Xenopus tropicalis: one gene and its partner. The protein of the gene in region 1 purifies or fractionates together with the protein of each later gene. This does not show direct contact. Links are inferred from orthologs where the notes say so. Each region holds a gene or a part of one and is shown on either strand. Other genes may lie near its edges.

Region 1 (3,500 bases):
AAAAAACGCGAGTTTTTCGTAGCCATTACGAAAGTTGCGCAAAATCTTGCGATTTTTCGTAGCGTTAAAACTTGCGCGAAAAGTCGCGATTTTTTCGTAGTGTTAAAACTTGCGCGAAACATCGCGCCTTTTAAGTTTTAACGCTACGGAAAAGGCGCGACTTTTCGCGCAAGTTTTACCGCTATGAAAAAATCGCAAGATTTTGCGCAACTTTCGGAATGGCTACGAAAAACTCGCGTTTTTTCGCGCAAATCGTATTGGTAACGAAAAATAATTTCCGAAAAGTCGTAAAGTCGCCGAAAAAATCGCAAAAAATACGAAAAAGTCACAAAATGTTCGTTTTCCAATCGGAATTTTTCCAATTCGGTTTCGAATTCGTGTCTTAGTAAATCAGCCCCTTAGTCTGCTAAAAATCATTTAAACATGAATGGAAGGAATTTTGTCCTCCTCTGAGGCAAATTAGAGAGGCTTTAGATGGTTTTTTTTTGCCTGCCTCTGGATCAACTAGCAGTCAGGCAGGTTATATACAGGCATTATGGACGTATGTCTTTTTTCATCTTAACTTACTATGTTACTATGTATACCCCATAGGATTGTTTTATCTACTTGTAAAACCCGATGGCATCCCAGGTCACAGGCGCTAAAAATTGCGTGAAGTAGCTGCCAAAGCAGCTATACTGACATATATATTACAGATGCTACACACGGTTTGATTCCATTTTAGTAAGTGGAGGCAACTCAGAGGGACTTTGGATGGGAAATTTCTGCCTTCTTCAGCATCAAATATAAGATAGGTCAAAAGGATAAACTAGGTGTACATGTGTTTTTTTTTTTCCTTACAAAACATTACCTACTAAGTTGCATGCACGCACACACACATCTTCCAGTCACAATCTATACTAACACTTTTGTTTCTTTATTGTAAGTCTCTTGTCTGAGTAATGTAAAAGCAGGACTCTAGTTTATCCAAATACCATCATAGGTGTACTGTCCACTTCATTATTTGCAAGCTATAAATGCTACTAGCAAAACACCCAAAATCACCCCATATTCTAGTGCTCTTTTGGCTTCATAGTTTCTAAAGTGTTCCAATTAAAAAAAAAAAACAAGTAGAAGGGAAGGTAAAAACTAAGTAAAATGTAAATACAGCCATAAGCACTCACAGAAAAGCTATATCAAAAGTAACACAGAATTTTCTTTCTTCTTTTTTGTACACATGTCCTTCAGTATCAAACTTCCTGCTCTCAGAAAAATTCTTCAGGGCAGGGGCACGTCTGCTCAAGTTTGCTCCTCTTTCCCTCTCCACTTTCCTGCTCCCCCTCCCATCAGAATTTGCTCCCCCTCCATACTATGCTGTGTAATCTTAGCTACCCGCAGCTAGAGCTGCAGAGAAGCTACTGAGACTAAGCTAAAATGACAGAGGGAGCTTCTAGGGCTGTTTACTCAGGTATGCTAAAGCTTTCTGCAGAATAAATATAGCGTTCTAGCTTGCACTATTGTTACTAATCTATTGGCAGTAAAATGCCTTTCCTTCTCCATTAATTGTGAACCTTTTACAGCAATTTTGAATCAGCACAGTATTTTGTACACAGTAATGGTTAAACAGTTTGTTATAATTACTGGCTGATTTGTACATGGTGCCATTTTGTAATTAAAGTAAAACAAGGGAGAGAAAGTCAGTGTGTGTGTCAGGAATACAAAAAGAAGGGTGGGGGGAAAGGTCTCCTGCCCTTTTTACCTATCCCTCTTGTAGTCTTGATATTTGACAAACTGAACAGAGGTCAGCATATTAAACTGGTAGATGCCGTAATTACAGAAGAGTGGGAAAACACAATAGTAATAGTGTTATCATTAAATGAAATTAAAAATGTTAAAACAAGAATTACCTTGTTGCAAAAGCTGGCTGAACTTCATGAGGGTTGCGACGGTCAGACCAAAAGAGCAAAAGTCTATCAAATTTTGGTTCAATATCAGCAAACTGGGATTTGCCTTCTGGAAAAATTCGAAGTAAACCTCCATGTGTCTGAAAAAATTTACATTCAGTATTTAATATATAACAACGACCAGCAGGGAATTTTTCTAGAGAGAATTTTCTTTTAGTTATACAATATCACACTATGCAAGACACATCAAAGAAATTTTTTTTGCAATCAGACTAGGTATCCATTTATTTATTGTATAATGCTGTAGAAAGAACTAAGAGGCCATATCTGCAATCCTTTCCCACACGAGTGTACTGTAATTTTAGCAAATAAAGACTCAAATTCATTTTCTTTCACTCAAGGCATAAAGTTCACTAACAACGGAATATTTTTTTTTAAAAAAAACAAAACAAAAAATATAATATATATATATATATATATATATATAATTATTTTTTATTTTTTTTTTTTCAAATATTCAGTCAAAATCGCCAACTTTAGGAAAGCTTTGTGGCTTGATACTTTGAAGTGTACTTTGGAAGAATGTGTACTTTCCCAAAAAATATGGTTTTCTGGGGTGAGTGTACTTTTTTGTAGCTTTATCCTACATAAAATTATGTAAATGTATGAAGTTGAAATGACAAATGATAGATCATATGTATTTTCATTCAAGGGGCCTACATTCCATACAACTGTTCAGGGGCCCCCTAATGTTCATATACAGGATGTTTTATTTGGTTACCTTATGACCTGTAGGAGATAATATGCTATAGACTGGAAACTTTGAAGTGATTTTTCAAAAATTTTAAATTTTTTATAAAAACCCTAACTTTAGCAAAGCATTGCAAGTTTTACGTATTCTGGATTAATCAGAATCTATTATTTCCAAAAATGTATAGTTTTCTAGGTTAAACTTAATGTTGATGGAATTTTTGGCCTTGAAATCTTGGTAGTGTACTGCTGGGAGTTTTTGCCCTAAACAAATGAAAAATCTCCATAAAACTGTAAATATTTGGCATTGGTGCATTCAGGAGACACAGGACTTTTCATGCATAAAATAATTTATATTTCTGGTGTATGTGTTTATATTATGCAAAATATATTTTTTTTATTTTTTAGACATTTAGAAGCCTATATCTTGTTACAGAAGTGGAATTACACAAACATTCATAGCATATTTAGAAAGCTTAGGTTGTCCTGATATATAGTTTTCCTGGAATATAAATTTAAATAAAAGTTCTACAAGTGACAAAATTGGCCGGCAGCGAAAGGGTTGAATTATATCTTCCAGGACACAGACCAGCATGTAGTGATACACAAGGGAGCAGAGATTAAATAACAGACCAGAAAACAAAACAAAAGATCCCAGATCTAGATAATTTATTTTCTAGAATCTGAAAGTAGGGCTCCTAGTCAGAAAGCAAAAAAAAAAAACAAGTTACGGACAAGACAAAACACATAAATAGCCACTTAAAATAATTGATGGGTGATGGCTGAAGTTTGTTTCAATGTCTATATACAAATAAAAGGGACCGTGTGTCCCAATTGCCACATGCAGCCTTTCCAATCATGTCTGTG
Region 2 (4,285 bases), on another chromosome or scaffold:
CACTTATGAAGCCATACTAGAACATATGTACAAGTTTATTTTTTCAAACAGCTTTTTATTGTTAAAGCAGATGACCTTTAAAACAGCAAATTTACTTACCTGAATGTTAATTTATTTTTATCAAAGTCTGTTTTTACTTCTTTACTGTCCTCCACACAAAATTCAACAAAGACATAGTCTCTTCTATCGTACCACTTTGCAGATGCTGGCTGCCTGCAAGGAAATTGTTCAATAATATTTATATTAACAGAATCTCATATGCATACATATATCTTCCCCCTGTTTGTTGTGGTTTATTTGGATAAAAATACATGCTAATAAAGATGCATGTAACAAAAATGATATAGTATACCTCTGAGAAAGCAGATAGCCAAAAGGACCCAATAGTGAGACAGTGGGCTCATGACACATGCTGGAAAATGCAAGCAGAGAAATGCCCAAACAGCACTAATGAGCCTGTCAGCTTTTGAATTACAACAGCCAATGACCAGTGATAACAGTTGGTTTTTACCAAGAATGCACACCTTTCAGTGTTTTCTGGCAAAAATCCACCTGTCACACTAATTGATTGGACAGAATCTGAGTTCACCTTTAAATTAATTTTTATATGATGTAAACAATGATGGAGAAAATTTACAGTTATAATTTTATATGTTTAATTTGCTTTTTGTTAAGCAGCTCTACAGTTTAGAACTTCAGCAGCTATTTAGTAGCTGGGGTCCACATAGCAACAGTTTAAAATGAGATACCCAAAGATGAGTAGGGCTAAAAAAGAAAGAAGTAATCAAAAGTATCAATAACAAAATTGTAGCCGCACAAAGAAGTGTTTTTGGTCAGTTATCCCTGGAAATTGGCAAATAATTCAATACCAGGACAGACCATAAGATATAAAAAAATTTACATAAAGGTGAACTGCATGTATGACTGGGTATGAGCCTACAAGACATTACACGTAATTAAAGGTAACCTGTTTAATACTTGGCTACCTGTGGGGCAAAGTTTGAACATCTGTTCTGCAATTGTGTTAACAATTTTTAGAAGGTATTAGTATGTGTTTCTGCTGGGTTGTGCTTTCATATTTAATTGTAATCTTGATAGATTGGAAAACCCTACAACTTATTAAAGGAACAGTAACACCAAAAAATGAAAGAGCTTTAAAGTAATAAAAATATAATGCACTGTTGCCCTGCACTGGTAAAACTGCTGTGTTTGCTACAGTAACACTACTATAATTTATATAATAAGCTGCTGTGTAGCCACGGGGGCAGCCATTCAAGCTGGAAAAAAGGAGAAAAGGCACAGGTTACATAACAGATAAGTTCTGTAGAATACAATAGTGTTTTATCTGTTATCTGCTATGTGCCTGTGCCTTTTCTCCTTTGAATGGCTGCCTCCATGGCAGGTTATTTATATAAATTATAGTAGACTTTCTGAAGCAAACACACAACTTTTACCAGTGCAGGGCAGCAGCACATTATATTTTAGTTACTTTTATACACTTTCATTTTTTGGTGTTACTGTTCCTTTAAAATAAAAACTGGGAGCTGTACAAATATTTAAACCCCATCCATCCTGTAATGTCTTCACTATAAAACAACTGGAAGAATCTTGCAGCAGCCTTATTTTAACATACAGCAAATAACTAATATTAACAGCTCCTATTAACAGGCTGAGATAACTGGCCAAGCTAAGAGATCAGGTATCACCAGCCTGAAGCTCTATTGTTTAGATACAGGGAAAATCAACACAATCTTTTCTTTTTTGTTTGAAATGTAAATGTTCCCCAAGCAGCACTAACAGGTGGGCAGGACCCAAGCTACACAGCCTACTATATGTACTAGAACATTCTACAGAAAGCCACTGGCTGTGCCGCTGATGGGAAGTTTATTTAATTGAACTAATTAACAGAACGTGTATGGTGTAACAGCCCCAGCCACTAACGTGCCTGCTGATTGTTGCAGTTGAGCCGCATGATGGGTAGCCATGCCAGGGGCAAGCTTCTGTGTACCTAGTGTGGGCAGATGGCGCGGCTGGTAGAACAGATGCCGAATGCCAGGGAGAAACAAAGGAAGGGGCAGTATGTTGTTTGCAGACATGGCGACACCCATAAGCGTAGGGCAGACATGCCGGTCTTACAGGCCACACGGAGGAGCGATGTCGCACAGGTCGCTCGGCTGCCGTTTCGGGCTGTAATACACGTACTAGCACCGAGCCGACACAGATCCATGCTGCCGACATAAGAGGATTAGCGGATGAAGGCAATGGCGCTCCTCGGAAGCAACAGGCTCAGAAGCCTTACCGCCGAGAGAAGCTTCTGGAGACAGGGAGGCAGGGGGAAGTACAGGGAGGCAGTGGGAGTCAGAGGGAAGCAGGGGGAGGCCCGCCGGCCGGTCGCAGCCAACACGTGTTAGTAATGGAAGGTACAGCCCGACACTCACCGCAGCCTCCCTTACGGGCAGTAACCCGCTCCCTGCCGCCCCTCTAACCCTACTCAAGTACAGGCGAGCCTTCCCGGCTATGGGAATAACCATACCCCCTCCCCATTCCTTGGGCGCCCTGACTGAGCAAACCATTCTCCTGCATGGCAGTGTCGGCAACATGGCCTGTGATGGTCAGGTCCCGCCGTCACAACCGCACACTCCCGCTCTCACATCCCCTGAGCCTCTTGGAACTGCCCCATGGCTGCTACTTACATGTTGCGTCTCTTTTAGCTCGGCGCTCTTTCCCCGCTCTCCTCACGCACTTCCCGCTGCACCCTAAGCTGCAGCTACTACCGCTCCTCCCCGCTCTCTCTCTCCAGGCCTGCCTTACGTCACCGAGCAATAGGGACTGGAATAGGCTGTGCCGCGCTCATTCCGACAATCCGATGGCGCCTACTCTCGCGATAATACGTCCGGCTGGCACTACGTGCGCATCTTTGGCTAAAGCCGCCTACCGGCTGTCTGAGGCACTGCATGGCGGCGCTACCTGCGTCTGGTAATTGCTGGAATGTTCTGCCTTCTAATATATGGCACTATGGTGGAATTTGCTATACCCAAGCAACCTTAATTAAGCAGTGCGTAATAAAAAAAAAATGATTTAAGATACTTAAACTCCTACAGTGTTACAATTACATATCCTAAGTCGTCCAAGTAAGAAAACTATCCGTATGCACTATGGTTATAATGGTAAAATGGTTATGGCATAAGGTAAAAAAGAAAAGTAACAACCATGAGTTATTCAGGGACAGTATATTTATATAGTGTATAGTTAGGGGCTCTCAATTTAGTTCCGATTTAGTTAAACAGTTCCTTGAGAGTTTGGCCAGCTAACTGAGCTTTAAGCGTGGTTCTACATTTATGTGTAAAGTTTCTTCCCTTGGACAGGAGAAATTTGAGACTTATTCTAGAGCCTGCCCTGTAGGTGGCAGTATATGAACTTATTACAGGGAGAGCTCGTTTGTGCTTGTGTCTTCCCTAGGATTTCACCTCACTGAGAGGTGCCTGCAGGATTTAGTTCAGGAATTTTAGCAGTTAGTATTGTTATAGTTGCTCTGGGAGTAAAAAGTAGAATAGGATATGTAGATGGCAGTCTTGCGCCCCACCGAGGAGTGCAAAGGGGTTCGGACCCTGTGCTGAGTTTAACCACTAGTAACCAGGGATTTAGTGTAGGGACCCATAGGGTTAATATGCCCCTATGGCTTTAAGCCCCACCATTTCCTATATCTTCCTGTTATTGGGCAAAGTTCCCGAGTATGCTATGATATTAGCATTTGTGCCTTATTGGTTCATAGGTACACCACTCCCTTTGCACTCTAATATGTTTAGCAAAGGGGTGGATCCTTCTCTTTGGCTACATCCATTGACTCAAGTTCCACTGAGCCTGGGATCAATAGGGCCCCAGTAATCCATCTACCCTAGAGTCTATCTATAACTCTAGTGAAGTCGGAGAACAGGGACCCAGTGAATGAGGATAAGCAAGAATCAGGATAATACCTTTAGAAGCACTGTCTAGGAAAGTGAGATAGTCTAGTTAGAAAGAGCAGTTTCTGGCTCCAACCAGGAGAGATTAGCTGGAAGTACTCTTCCCTACAGGCATTGTTGCTTTAATATAGGACCGTGGTTAAGACACAGGTATAAGGTTATCCCTGATCCATAGTTGGCTGTTTAGGATCCTTGATTGCTACACATCCTGAGGGCATAGATACTTCTCCAGACTACTCTTCACAGGGGTGCTGTGCTGTTTGGCTGTCTTTAACCTGCCCATACTCTGTTGAGTAGGGACAAAACGGTGGACACCATACCTT

The links. Proteins that work in one complex are often made in the same cells at the same time.
Region 2: the proteins of egln1 (region 1) and ptges3 purify together in Homo sapiens (affinity purification with mass spectrometry; 5 studies listed by BioGRID and IntAct, with this or other methods). This does not show direct contact. The link is inferred for Xenopus tropicalis from reciprocal best matches to the Homo sapiens genes EGLN1 and PTGES3.

Annotation. Positions count from the first base shown.
Region 1 is NC_030681.2:57,944,774-57,948,273, reverse strand, and holds part of egln1 (egl nine homolog 1), read right to left. Parts: intron 2,024-3,500; coding exon 1,887-2,023; intron 1-1,886. UniProt on the Homo sapiens protein: Cellular oxygen sensor that catalyzes, under normoxic conditions, the post-translational formation of 4-hydroxyproline in hypoxia-inducible factor (HIF) alpha proteins.
Region 2 is NC_030678.2:138,781,377-138,785,661, forward strand, and holds the start of ptges3 (prostaglandin E synthase 3), read right to left. Parts: upstream 2,801-4,285; 5' UTR 2,696-2,800; coding exon 2,694-2,695; intron 214-2,693; coding exon 100-213; intron 1-99. UniProt on the Homo sapiens protein: Cytosolic prostaglandin synthase that catalyzes the oxidoreduction of prostaglandin endoperoxide H2 (PGH2) to prostaglandin E2 (PGE2).